Linked DNA regions of Rattus norvegicus. The protein of the gene in region 2 purifies or fractionates together with the protein of the main gene of each other region. This does not show direct contact. Links are inferred from orthologs where the notes say so. Each region holds a gene or a part of one and is shown on either strand. Other genes may lie near its edges.

Region 1 (6,491 bases), on a different chromosome or scaffold from region 2:
CTGAGTTTGAGGCCAATCTGGTCTACAGAGAGAGTTCCATTAACAGCCAGGGCTACACAGAGAAAACAGGTCTCAAAAAAACAAACAAAAACTAACCAAACCAACAACAAAACAAAACAAACAGAAAGAAAGCATGGTTGTATAAACAAGGGCAACTATCAAATAAAACACAAGGCGTCTCAGTATGGATGAAAACAGCCAGGGATCCCTTGAAAACCCAAAAACGACTGCTCTCAGCTGCAAGAGGGTGTATCTAGAAAGCTGTGAGGTTGGTAATGGTGGAAGGCCATTTTACCTATCTGATGTCATTTAATAATATGCAGTAAATGAAGAAAGGCCAGGGATAGGACCTCGTGGCTCTCGCCTAGTCAACTCCCTTCACAGTACGTCACAGGTGTAACCCTACCCAGAGCCAGCAGACAGAGATGCAAAATGGCACTTACTTTTTGGCAAGTCTCCAGTACTGGAGGCTGAAACTGTCCTGCTTCTGTCACGGGATGGACTGCTTTCCTCTGGCTCGGTGAGTGGTGATCCCTCTGACAGCACAGAGTCAGAGGCCACAGGTTCTAAGGGCCCAGAAAACAGCGGTGTGGGAAACTCTGGACTCTTAGGCTGTCCGTTTGGCAATTCACCATTGAATTGTTCATAGGAGCTGCTATACGTATAATCACTCTCCGCATTTGGTTCATCCAGGTTATACTCCTCGGGGTTTGCACAGTCATCTTCCTCATCCTCTTCATCCTCCAGCTGCTGCTCCAGTAAAAACAGGCCATTTTCAATATGGCCGTTGGCCTTAGGGGACTCCATCCACGTAGGGTCTATGTTCTCAAGTTCCTGTTCAACATCATCTTCATCCTTCTCAGTGTTTTCCTTCTCTGTGTCTTCTTTCTCTTCCTGGTCTTCAACTTCACCTTAAAGAAGATGGGGTTAAGACTGGAGTCGACTCTCCATGCACAGTAGCACTATAGGCCTCACACAGGAGAGCCTCTTCTTTAACTCAGATCCGCCTGCCTCTGCCTCTGCATCCCGAGCTCTGGGCTCCTTGATCCTGAGCATGCACCACCACACCCGGCTAGGAGGCAACTCAGACAGATCCCAGAACACGCCTTTTGCTTGTCAAGGCAAGGCGGCATTCTAAATCTTGTTTCTGTTTATTCAGTAATGAGTCCTCTAGCCAGGGACAGGTTAGCTCTGGGGAAATTACAAGTAAAGCTGGATTTTCACTTTAGTCCCTTCTTTTTCAAAGAAGCTTACTGTACCTGATCTTTAAGGTGCTCACTTTTCAACTGTGTGTGAACACATTCATGAGCCCTCACAGCTACAGTTACAAGAGGCTGTGAGCACCATGACACTGGAGGAACTGGGAGCCAAGCTCCTCTGCACTACTGATCCATTCTCCAGCCATTAACCCTCTCTTCTGTCGCCTTAGAAGATCTGTGCTCCCCAGCTCCGAAAAAAAGAAAAAAGAGAGAAAAAAAAAAAAAAAAAAAGAAGATCTATGCTGCATTAAAGTTAGGCAAAGGCCTAATTACAGAATAAGGAAAGGGTCATCATTAACACTAGGGTGCTTCTCAGACATCCTCCGCCCCTTCTCACACCCCTGCTTTGTGACGTAACATGCGCTTAGCAGAGTTTCACAAATGAACTATGCTGCCCCCATCATCCCCAAGGAGAGGTAGAGAAAGCCGTCCTTAGTGACTGAGGTGGCAGCTCAGATACTCTCAGACGCTCTCAGAAATGACCCCGTGTGAAGCTCCCGCACGCGACCAGCCCTCCCTCCTGCTCTGAGTTGGACTAACCATTGTCCTTTGCTGTCTCTTCCTCAGTTGTGTCCTCTAACTCGGCCTCTTTCAGTTTCACCTCAGGCTGGCATTCTCCATCTTGCTCACTGGAAGCTTCTGCAGAGGTGGTGTTCTCTTCTAGGATTTTCCTTTCGGCTTCTCTCTCCAATTCCTCAATCTCCTGCAGGCGCTTCTCCAGCAACTCAGCCTGCCTCTTCTGTTTCTTTTTTAGCTTTTTCTTTTTGTTTTTAGATATTTTTCCTATCTACAACATGGTAAGAGAGTATGTGTCAGGCGGGAGTATGACACCTTGGATCAGAAAAGCACTCTTTAAAACACTCCTTACGAGTTGAAATGTTGGTAACACAGTAACTGCTTTTCCAGGACACACTCAGCTTTCCTCACTAACCCAGCCACGAGAGCCACCTCAGGGGAGGACTGTGCTCACACGGTTAGTCTCCCCTAACTTCTATGAGGAAAGTAGGAGAGCTGAGCTCCGTGAAATACCTGGCTGTGAGCAAGAATCTTCTCTTGCAAGCTTTCCTTGCTGCTGGCTGTATCCAGAATCCTTAACGACAAAAACAAGCACCTGCCCAGACCAGTGCCAACAGCACTGTGTCTGCATGTGGCTCTGACACCAAGCTGTGAACACCATGGACTTTCAGAAATCAGTAGACGATAGAAAGAAGGGAAAAAAGGAAAAGCCACGGTTTTCTGTGCCTCAAGCTACAGCCATAAGTCTTGGAAAGCCCTGGCTAGGAGGGTCTGCAAAGTTTCTCAGACCCATAAACCCAAACCTAAGGCTCAGGGGAGAGCTATGAACATGATCTGGGGGCTGGAGAGATGGCTCAGTGGTTAAGAGCACTGCCTGTTCTTTCAGAGGTCCTGAGTTCAATTCCCAGCAACCACATGGTGACTCACAACCATCTGTAATGGGATCTGATGCCCTCTTCTGGTGTGTCTGAAGAGAGAAGACAGTGTACTCACATACATAAATAATTTTTTTAAAAGTGATTTGGACTCCCCCGTAACAATTCAGACTTGGAACTGTCTTGATTTGACAGGATCACAGAACAGATAATGATCCTTCTCACTTAAACAGCTAGCTATAAAAAATTAAAATGTTTTTTGGCAAAACAGGATACTTGGAGGCCAGGCAGAAGTCATTTAAAAAAGATTCTGGAACAATTAGATTTTAAATTTGAACTAAAGCCTTGCAATTCACCGAACTCAGCCAACAGCAGCCAAGAGAGCCCAGGGGGAGACTGGCTTTGACTGTTCCCGTCCACAGCAGGAAGTCATGCCCTATATAATGACAGAGCATTTACAAACATGCGCCTCTAAATTAGTGAAGACTATGACATTTGCTACACAGTTTGTGCAGCTCAGGAACAAACAGTCCCTCCTGACATGCTGGCCACACGTAAATACGGTCCCTCCTGACATGCTGATCACACGTAAATACTTACAGGTTTCTGCTGTGGAGCCGTACTCACTAAAACAAAATAAAACAAAACGGATGATCAGAGGAAGACAGGCACTGTTGGGTAATTTGATTTGCAAACTGAGATAATACTGCCTTTTAATAACTACCCAACTTTGAACAACTTTCACCTCAGAGATTGCTAAAGATAGGAACCTGGCAAAAGCTTATGCAATTCAAACAGACTGCGCAGCTCCAGGCCGCAGGAGACGCTGTGCACGTGAAGCACTTTTCTTGCAAACAGCCTCTCTCAAAGCACTGACAAAATAATTACAGAGGAAAAGAAAAAGAAATGGAAGAGCTTACAAGCCAGTCACATAACGGAACATGTTTTGCATATGAGGCAATGGACATGCTAGCTAGCGAAGAAGGTGCACAGCCATGTCTGAAGACTACACGGAAAGCACCACACACGTGAACTAGGGCACACAGTGCAGCACACTGTGCAGTGGCTCCAGAACTCGGCCTGGCAGCATCAGAAGCTTCATAAACGGGCTGCGTGAGGTGAGGTGATGACATCACCATGGTGCTCGTGATGAGGCGGCAGCGCTTCTTTCTGGAGCCCTGTCAGTCAGCCAGAGGGAAGCACACCCACTCCAATCTCCATCCCAATCTCCCCAATGAAGCCTCTCAACTTCCCAAGAGAAACGACGCTAGTGCTCATGTCCCTGCTTCCCTTTCTAGCTCCCCACCCTGGAGCTTCCACAGCCAACACCAAACTATTGGCTAAACTGAGATGGAAGCAGGTATAGTAGTTAAGGAAAGAAAACATTTGTTATAAAACCCAAATCAGGAAAAAAAAAAATCAGAAGTCTGCAGGTCGGCTACAAGAAACTGGTCGTATACTCTCCATAGAAACTTGGACCACACGGGAGCGTGCACCTACGTGATGAAGCCTTTGAGAACGAGCAAAGGTAACAGAAGACAAAGAGTTAAAAGAATGAACTCAAACCTCATCTTAAGCAAAAGCATCTTCAACATCTAAACTCTTAGAAAAAGTTCCTAATGCGTATGTGCACGTCAGACACACGGCCTTCACTAAAGAGCTTTAGAAGCTCACAGCCCCAAGCAGACAGAGCAATGAGGGCTCAGCCCCTCACCTGCAGACCCAGAAGGAGGAGGAGCACCTGCTTTCTGCCACTCCGTAGCCTCGGCCGCCATTCTCCGCACGTACGCGCCGTCCACACACATCAGGATGTTCTCCGGCTTGATATCAGTGTGGATTATCTTGCACTTGCTGTGTAGATAGTCTAAGCCCTGAAGGACCTGGTCACGGTAAAGCAAACAGGACCCCTAGTGCTTCAGTCCATGACTTACTAAGCCTAAGCCATGCAATGCCTCCATATGCAGCTGGAATACACTTTAGAGACATTTACTCTAAAAATGGAGTTTCCTCACAGGCAACCAATGTCATCACTTCAGAATTCAGTTATGCTCGCAGACATAATGCCCTTGATAAGAATTTTATATGCAATAAGTCCAGGGCTTCAGAGCTTTGCCAGAGGCCTTAGGGTCACATGTATCTTACCACTGTCTCCAAGCCCAGTTCCAGTATACCGGTGTCACAGTACACAGTGCCCAGTACACAGTGTCACCTCTGTGGGCACAAGGTACACAGTGTACAGACCCCACAAAGGCAGACATTCATACATAGAAAATAAAAGCGAATGCATCTTTTAAAATTTCAAATCTACATTATCGCGTTTATTAATATGATACTACCTAATTCAGAACATCTGCGTCAGTCCATAAAGAAATCCCACAGACATGAGTAGTGGCTTCCCCTCTCCCTCCACCTCTGACAGTCCTAACCACAAGGCTATGTGCCTGACTCATGTAAAGAGGTCTCTGTGCTCGGGTAAACATGTCCAATGTCCATGCACTCATGAGCCTGTGAGTGACCCAGAAATCAACAGTAGATGGATTCCTTAAAGGCTCCCCATCCCCCTACCCACTTTTTTTAAATTGAAAAATACTGGTTTTTCTTACTGAACCTGGAACTCACCAATTTGGTTAGAATGGCTGCCCAGTAAGCCTCAAGAAGCCCTGTCTCTTCCTCACCAGTGCTGGGATTTCAGACACACACCAGCACACCAGGCCTTTTAGATCTAAGGGCCCGAGTTCCGAGTCCCAGAACCCTATAAAGGCCACCCTCGTCCCAAGTGCTCTTTTCTACCTGGCATCATGACGGAGGCACATGCTGGGTAGCACACACCAGCTAGTCACTTCCTGTATTGCTGAACAATGTCCCCTCTGCAGACACATGGCACTCTTTAAGGATTACTCCTTCTTATTTAGTATGTGTGTGTTTTGTCTGCATGTATGAATGTGGCACCACATATATGACCCAAGTTAAAATGGTCATAAGCTACCACGTGGGTGCTGGGAAACAAACTCAGGTTCTCTGTAAGAGTAGCCAGCGCTCTTGACCACTGGGCCCCAGCCTGCAAATGGCATTTTCTTTATTTATTTGCTCAATGGGAATCTCAACCGTTTCTGCTCCCTGACGATTGGAGGTAACACCTCCATACACATCCACGTGCACATTTTCCTGTGGCTCTTCGTGGTGACATACTGAGGAGATCAGTGCTGAGCTACATGGCAACTACGGTCAGCCTAACGACAGGCTCTACCGTTTACCGCGACAGCAGAGCCAGCCTACCAACCTACAGTACAAGCTGTGTGTAAGAGTTCTAATCCCTTCATCTCATCCGAAACTATGGTCTTCTTAAGTTGTCTCTGCTCTCCTGGGCACAAAGCTGTGCTTCATTTCTGCTGGGTTTGGCGCTTTCCGGGTTTGTGTTTCTTTTTATTTTTGCTTATTTTTGAGACAGGGCCTCACTGTGCTGCCCAGACTAGTCTTGAACTTGTAAGTTCAAGCAAACCTTCTACCTTATGTTTATTTTCAATGCTTCAGGAAAGGAAAATTTTTATTTAAGTAAAAATAGCCTTAGTTTCTCTACAACACTGCAAGCTTAAGAACAATCCCTGCTCAACGGAGACGACAGCACTGAGGAGTTAGAGGAGCAGACCAGGGCCTCCTCAGCTGCTTCCTGACTCCACGGGGCTGCATAAAACCCCAACTTCAAAAAACAATCTGAATAGAAACATTTAGAGCAAACCAAAGCTTATTTGGTGCCACCTGACATGAAAGTAAAGCCCACGTTTTCTGGAATTATCCCCATTGAAGAAGAATCCTTAAAATAATTTCCAAAATTAAAATCTAT
Region 2 (6,491 bases):
AGACTTGTCTGCTCAGAACTATATCCATGATTCAGTATACATCCCTTTGCTCAATGCAATTTGCCATGAGATTGGCAATTCTGAGTGGCCCACTAGAAGATCAGTCATAGCCTTTATCAAGCTTGGAAATTTCTGCATCCTGATTTAAATAACTATCACCATATAAAACCTAGGATTCTTAAGTTAACATTGTCAGAGTAAGAGCCCTAAACAAATCTCCTGGTCTCTTCTTATGGAAAAGAGAAGGTGAGGAAAAATTGAGACAAAGAAACACAATGTTTTTTCCCATCTGGAAACTGAGCTAACTTTCATAAGCTGTATCCTGCCATGTGCCAATACAAACCAAGAAATCAGTGGAAGGAATTCAAAGAACAGAGTCTCAGGGACTCTGAGGAGATGGCTCAGTGAGTAGGTAAGGGTGCTTGCACAAGTACAGGGAGCAGAGCCCAAACCCTCAGCACCCACATAAAAAGCCAGGTGTGGCCATGTATTCCTATGTTTAACCCCTGTGTTGTGGGGGCAGAGACAGGCCAAATCCTAGGGCTTGCTGTTTCCCAGTCTAGCTCCAGTTTTAGTGAGCTACTTTTTCCCAAGAGTAAGGCAGGAAGTCACAGAGCAGGGTACCTGACATCCTTCTTGGGCCTCTATAAGCATGTATTCTCATATACACAGGAGCGTACATACCAAGATGTAACTTTTCTATGTTTTTCTATTTCCATCCCTCCTTCCTGGTCTTTTTATGTCATGCAAACTAGCTTCTAACTCAACAATCTTCTTGCCTCAGCCTCCCAAACCCTGGGATTATAGTTGTGCTCTAAACTTCTCAATAAAGAGTTTTTGTAAACAAACCTTCAAATGAGACTTTATTCTGCATCTGGTAGGGATTACACCTAGGGCCTTATACAGGCCAGGCAAGAAACTAACCACTGAACTGTAACTCCCAGTTCCCAAATTTCTGAAGGATCACTAGGAAAGACTTATTAAGAGAAAGGAGGAGAGCAAATAACCACTCCTTCCTCACCACTCCAGAGTTTTCTTTGTATATTTCCCAGTGCTATGGGGTTCTTTTCTAAGAGTTTTAGCATTCTTACCTGTAACAGCTTCTTTCTCCTCTTCTAATTTGCTGTGGTGGGGAAACCAGGTACCCAAGTTTGTTGGAACTGTGAAAGGTTTAAAACAAAACAGAACTGAGTATTTATTTTTCTTAGGTGTAACGTATCATTATTACAGTACATTATAACCAGTCAGTGCATTTTAACTTCCTTTGAAGTTTCCTAATCTTAAACTTAATTATATAATTTTAGTGTTTAGCAAGGCTCTATGTAGGTATCTCACATGCTCAAGTAGAATACTTTTTGAGTGCAAACAATGAGAAAATAGAAGTTGAAGAGGAACCTATACACTCACAGTCCTGTACCCAGTAACGATGCCAACTCCACTGTGTCTGTCCCTACATCCACACACAGGTGCACCTGTCTCTAAACTTCACATGCTTTCTTTTTTTTTTTTTTTCTTTCTGGTTTTGTGTTTTTATTGGGGTTTATTATAGGCAGGAGGAACTGCCACCATAAAGTATGCCCCTCCCACCAAGCAGGTCCGTTCTAATCCTCCTCCTGTGCCTTCTGCGACTTTTTCTTTTTCTTTGTGCGGCTCTTTGTGCAGCTTGCAGCAGCCTCAGGCTCCTCAGAGAATTCCCTTTTCTTCTGAGGGGCATATGCTTTCTAATGATATGTTCTACTAGCCTCTCATCAGTCTATTTTCTCTACAAGAAATTTGGTTTATCTTTTCAAACAAAAGAAAACAAAATTTAGTATGTAAGCTTCATAGAAATGTCTATGTAATTCATAGAAATAAATCAGAATATTAATTTAAAAAATACTTGAATTTATGTGTATGAGCATTCTGCCTACATGTATGTCTGTGTACCAGGTCCATGCAAATGGTAGCTGCAGAGTTTCGGAGAGGGCATTAGATACCCTAGAGCTGAGATAAAGACAGTTGTGGGTGCTGGGAACCAAATCCAGGTCCTCTTGGAGATGAAATGCTCTTAATTAATTAGTCATCTCTCCAGACCAAATCTAATAATTTTTAATGCCATAAAGCATCAGCAAAGTCACATCCTATAGATTTTAATAACTATTAACAAGTCAGAAAAAAATGAGATTAATGTGGTAGACATTAATCTTACAATGTTTTTATTTACTAAATTGAATTTTGATCATTCAAATTAAGACAGAAAGAGTTCAACTGTTTAAAAAAGTGAAGAATCGGGTTGGGGATTTAGCTCAGCGGTAGAGCGCTTGCCTAGCGAGCGCAAGGCCCTGGGTTCGGTCCCCAGCTCCGGAAAAAAAGAAAAAAAAAAAAAAAAAAAAGTGAAGAATCTAGAAAATTTAAATATGGGATCAATTTACTAATTTGAGGTCCAATCAAGATCCAAATGTACTAAATGCAGAAAAGAGCTTAAAAATTTGTTATTTCATTGTTTTGGAAAAGAATTGCAATGTGACCTCTGAAATGGGTTTAAAGTTCATGAGCCCATTTATTGTGGACTTTTGAGATTTTTCAGATAGCAATCTGAAATATTTTTAGACCGCATAAAAGTACTGGAAGAAATAAGAAAATGGTGTTGTGAACACATAAAGTGTGATTAAAAGTCTATTTAATTGTTTCTTTTGAAACCACAAAACATCTAAAGTTAAAATTTATTGAGCTCCATAGACAATACACAGCACCATCTGGTCAAGAGAAGTCAAGATGCAGCATCAGATCAAGACTGGATAAGATTGATCATTATGCACACAGTGCCACTGTGACTCTGAAGGTGGCTTCTGTTGGGAAAGGCTACACAGCACGCACCTAAGACTGCTGCTGCTCTCTATATGCAGCTTGCCTTTGCTCAACTGGCTATCAGATACTTTCACCATATAGAACCAACTATGTTACTAGGGGAAGGTCAGTCAATACACTGGGGAGTCAAAAATGATGGGCGGTAGCAAAGCTCCAGAGCAGAATATGTTCCTAACTTAGGTATTCCCTGTGCTGAAGCCCTGCACTCAATTCCTAGTAACACACACCATACACACATCCATATATACAAACACACATCCATACACAGACTTATGTGTACATTTTCTCTTGTATAAATTTGTCTCCAACCAAGCTTTTCAAACAGCATTATTTTCAGAAAATAATTCAACATATAAATCTGAATTTGTGTTCTAAAAACTATCTACTAGGACTGGAGAGATGGCTCAGTGGTTAAGAGCACTAACTGCTCTTCCAGAGGTCCTGAGTTCAAATCCCAACAACCACATAGTGGGGGTCACAACCATCTGTAATGGAATCTGATGCCCTCCCTCTTCTGGTGTGCGTCTGAAGTCAGCTGCAGTGTACTCATATAAATAAAAATAAATAAATCTTAAAAGACAAAAACAAAAACAACCCTGTACTAATTTGGCATATTTAAAGAGGTTTACAATAAAAAGCATTCAGCAAGAGCCTGTCTGATATGAAGTTGCCACATTTTAGTTCAAAGGCAAGTATCTGAGGTTATTTTGAATATACTTACTGTTCCCAACCTGGTCGACCACCACCTGGACGAGCAGCATTTATTCTTACTGGACCTTATAAACAAAACAAAAATGATGAATAAGAAATTCAATGCTATTTATTTCCTAAAGGGAAAAAGATCCAAATCAAAATTAATTTTACTCACCAGTTGTGGGTATTAACTGTCCATGCAATAATGACTGTCCCAACAAAGATGGAGTCCCAAGGACTGGCACCTGGTAACCCTTTAGGAATAAGCACATACACACAAAACAAGAATAGTTAAAGTTTTAAAAAGTCAAAGCAAAAATGAAAAAAAAAATGTATATTGTTAAAAAAAAACAACCCTCCATTATAAAGGCAGTACAGTCTACCTTTTCTTCCATAAGAGCAGTAATAGCAATTGAGGACGCTCCCTTTGAGTGTTCTGATGCAAGGGCGGCAGCTGGTAATAGTTTATTATCAGAATCCCTAGAAAACAGTGTAACATAAGAAAACGTCACCATAGTGGATGATGATGAGTAAAATGACAACTATCAGTAATACTGCTTATCTATTATATCTATACCCAGCATATGAGTTAGTGATAATGATTGTATATGAGGAAAGTCAAAGGCCTGGGCCGGTAAAGAGCTCTCTGTGCATAACATAAGCGGTGGGCCAGCGAGATGCTTTAGGAGGAGGCATTCCATGAGACCTAACAACAGAAACTTGACCCTCAAAACCCTACAAGATGGCACTAGAGAATCAAGTCCCTATAGTTGTCCTCTATCTCTACCCACATAGCTGGGGTTGCCACACTCCTGCATATACACTAAAAAAAGATGGAATTGCCTGAAAAAAATACTACATACGATAATATGATAGAAAAATAAGTGCAGAAATATAAAACTTCAAAATACTGCTACTCTTTAATATAGTTTCTCATGTTGTGACCTCCAAACATAAAATTATTTGTTAATCCTTCCTAAGTATAATTTTGCTTCTGTTATGAATCATAATGCAAATAACTGTGTTTTCCAGTGGTCTTAGGCAACCTGTGAAGGGTCAGTCAACTTCCCTTCAGTTTCAGGTCAGTTTCAACCCACAAGTTAAGAACCAATCACTGCTCTAAGAGCAGTCTTTGTATTATTTCCTTTACTGATTAAATAAAGGCTAAACTCGAACAGTGGGTATTTTTATATATGTAAAGGTTTCACCTTTAAAATTTTCTTTCAGTATCTATGAAACAAAACCTGACACCTGTGTTTTGTTAGATTTTTATGTAAATGACTGCTCTATCTGCATGCACACCTGCACGCCAGAAGAGGGCATCAGATCCCAGGCTACATGGTTGTGAGCTACCATGTGGTTGCCTGAAAATTGAACTCAGAACCTCTGGAAGAACAGACAATACTCTTAACTACCGAGCCATCTTTCCAGTCCCCAAAGCTGGCTAGTTGTTAAGAGAATGCATGTGTTAGTGGACCACAAAATCCACTGTTGCTTTCAGGAGGTCACCACAACTTATTCTTTCTTTCTTCCCATCCCCCTTCCCTATGGTCTTTCTAGATATGATTTTTCTGTGAAGCCCTGGCTGTTCTGGAAGTCAGAAATCCTCCCGCCTTTTCTTCCTGAGTCGTGGGATTGAACACATATGCTGCCACTGCTAGGCTAAAATTTTGTATTTTAGTAAGCACAGGGGTCCATTAAAGAAGGTGATACTTTAGGGGCTGGAGAGATAGATCAGAGGTTAAGAGCATCACTTGCTGTCCTAGGACCCAGGCTTTATTCCCAGCACTCATATAACAGCTCACAATCATCTGTAACTCAGTTCTAATTAAGGGTTCCAACACCCGCCTTTGCGACTGCAGACATAAATGCAGACAAAACACCCATACATATAAAAATAATAAAATTAGAAAAAAAAACGACTTTTAACTTAGCAACCAGGAAGGAGGCAGGCGGAGGTAAATCTCTGAATTTAGAGGCCAGATTGGGTCTACATAGTGAGACTGTACCTCAAAAATAATAACTATTATCAAAGGAAAATCCTTTTGTTTTCAATAATAAGACATATAGTAGACTTACCGAAAAGGCCCATCGGATTTTTCTGAGTGGACTGATATAGATACTGTTGCAGTTATATCAGGCACTGGAGCTGGGGCAGAAGATGGGTTGCCAGGCACGGAAGGAGCCAAGGAGGATGGATTTGAAGTTAATGAAGATATAGAGGGAGTTGAGTGAGCTGAGGAAGATGTCACTGGAATCATCAGAGGATCCTGCTGTCTTGATATGGGAGATCTCATCAGAGGTTGCAGGTTCCGCTGAATGAGTGGTCTTGGCGCTGATATTGGAGGTGGGGGTGGAGGTAACTGTTTTCGTAGTCTTTTTGTATAGCCAGTTTCATTTTTGAAGTTATTAACAGCCTATTATAGACATCAAACACAAAAATGCAGAATAAATAACGTATCACTCATTTCAATGAGTTCAATCGGTAAAAATGTTAAAGATATTTTTTTGTGTAAAAAAAAAAAAACAGTATAAAAGCTACCTGTCGTAAAAACTTGTTGGCAATTAAAGCATCAGGAGAAACATCATTTTGATGACATGTTGGACATGTATGCTCATCTGACTCCAGGAGTGCTGTCCTTATACCTATGTATGATAAGATGTTAAACATGAACTGGCACAGTAGCAACTTGGTGTTGACATAATGAATTAATGATACCTCCCAGGCCTAAACCATGAGACTGTCTCAAAAACAAACAAACAAAAAAAGTAACTTTATCGACATGATTGTGAGCTACTATGTGGTACTTGGAACTGAACTTGGGTCTGCTGAAACATCGGCCAGCACTTAATAGATGAGCCATCTCTCCAGTCCCAAACAGTTTTTTTTTTCTTTTTTCTTTTTTCCGGAGCTGGGGACCGAACCCAGGGCCTTGCGCTTTCTAGGCAAG

What was found. Proteins that work in one complex are often made in the same cells at the same time.
Region 1: the proteins of Rbbp6 (region 2) and Srpk2 purify together in Homo sapiens (affinity purification with mass spectrometry; 4 studies listed by BioGRID and IntAct, with this or other methods). This does not show direct contact. The link is inferred for Rattus norvegicus from reciprocal best matches to the Homo sapiens genes RBBP6 and SRPK2.

The regions. Positions count from the first base shown.
Region 1 is NC_086022.1:12,522,579-12,529,069, reverse strand, and holds part of Srpk2 (SRSF protein kinase 2), read right to left. Parts: intron 4,531-6,491; coding exon 4,365-4,530; intron 3,277-4,364; coding exon 3,251-3,276; intron 2,047-3,250; coding exon 1,800-2,046; intron 912-1,799; coding exon 444-911; intron 1-443. UniProt on the Homo sapiens protein: Serine/arginine-rich protein-specific kinase which specifically phosphorylates its substrates at serine residues located in regions rich in arginine/serine dipeptides, known as RS domains and is involved in the phosphorylation of SR splicing factors and the regulation of splicing.
Region 2 is NC_086019.1:186,954,037-186,960,527, reverse strand, and holds part of Rbbp6 (E3 ubiquitin-protein ligase RBBP6), read right to left. Parts: intron 6,187-6,491; coding exon 6,083-6,186; intron 5,958-6,082; coding exon 5,620-5,957; intron 4,021-5,619; coding exon 3,924-4,020; intron 3,795-3,923; coding exon 3,716-3,794; intron 3,624-3,715; coding exon 3,569-3,623; intron 1,161-3,568; coding exon 1,092-1,160; intron 1-1,091. UniProt on the Homo sapiens protein: E3 ubiquitin-protein ligase which promotes ubiquitination of YBX1, leading to its degradation by the proteasome.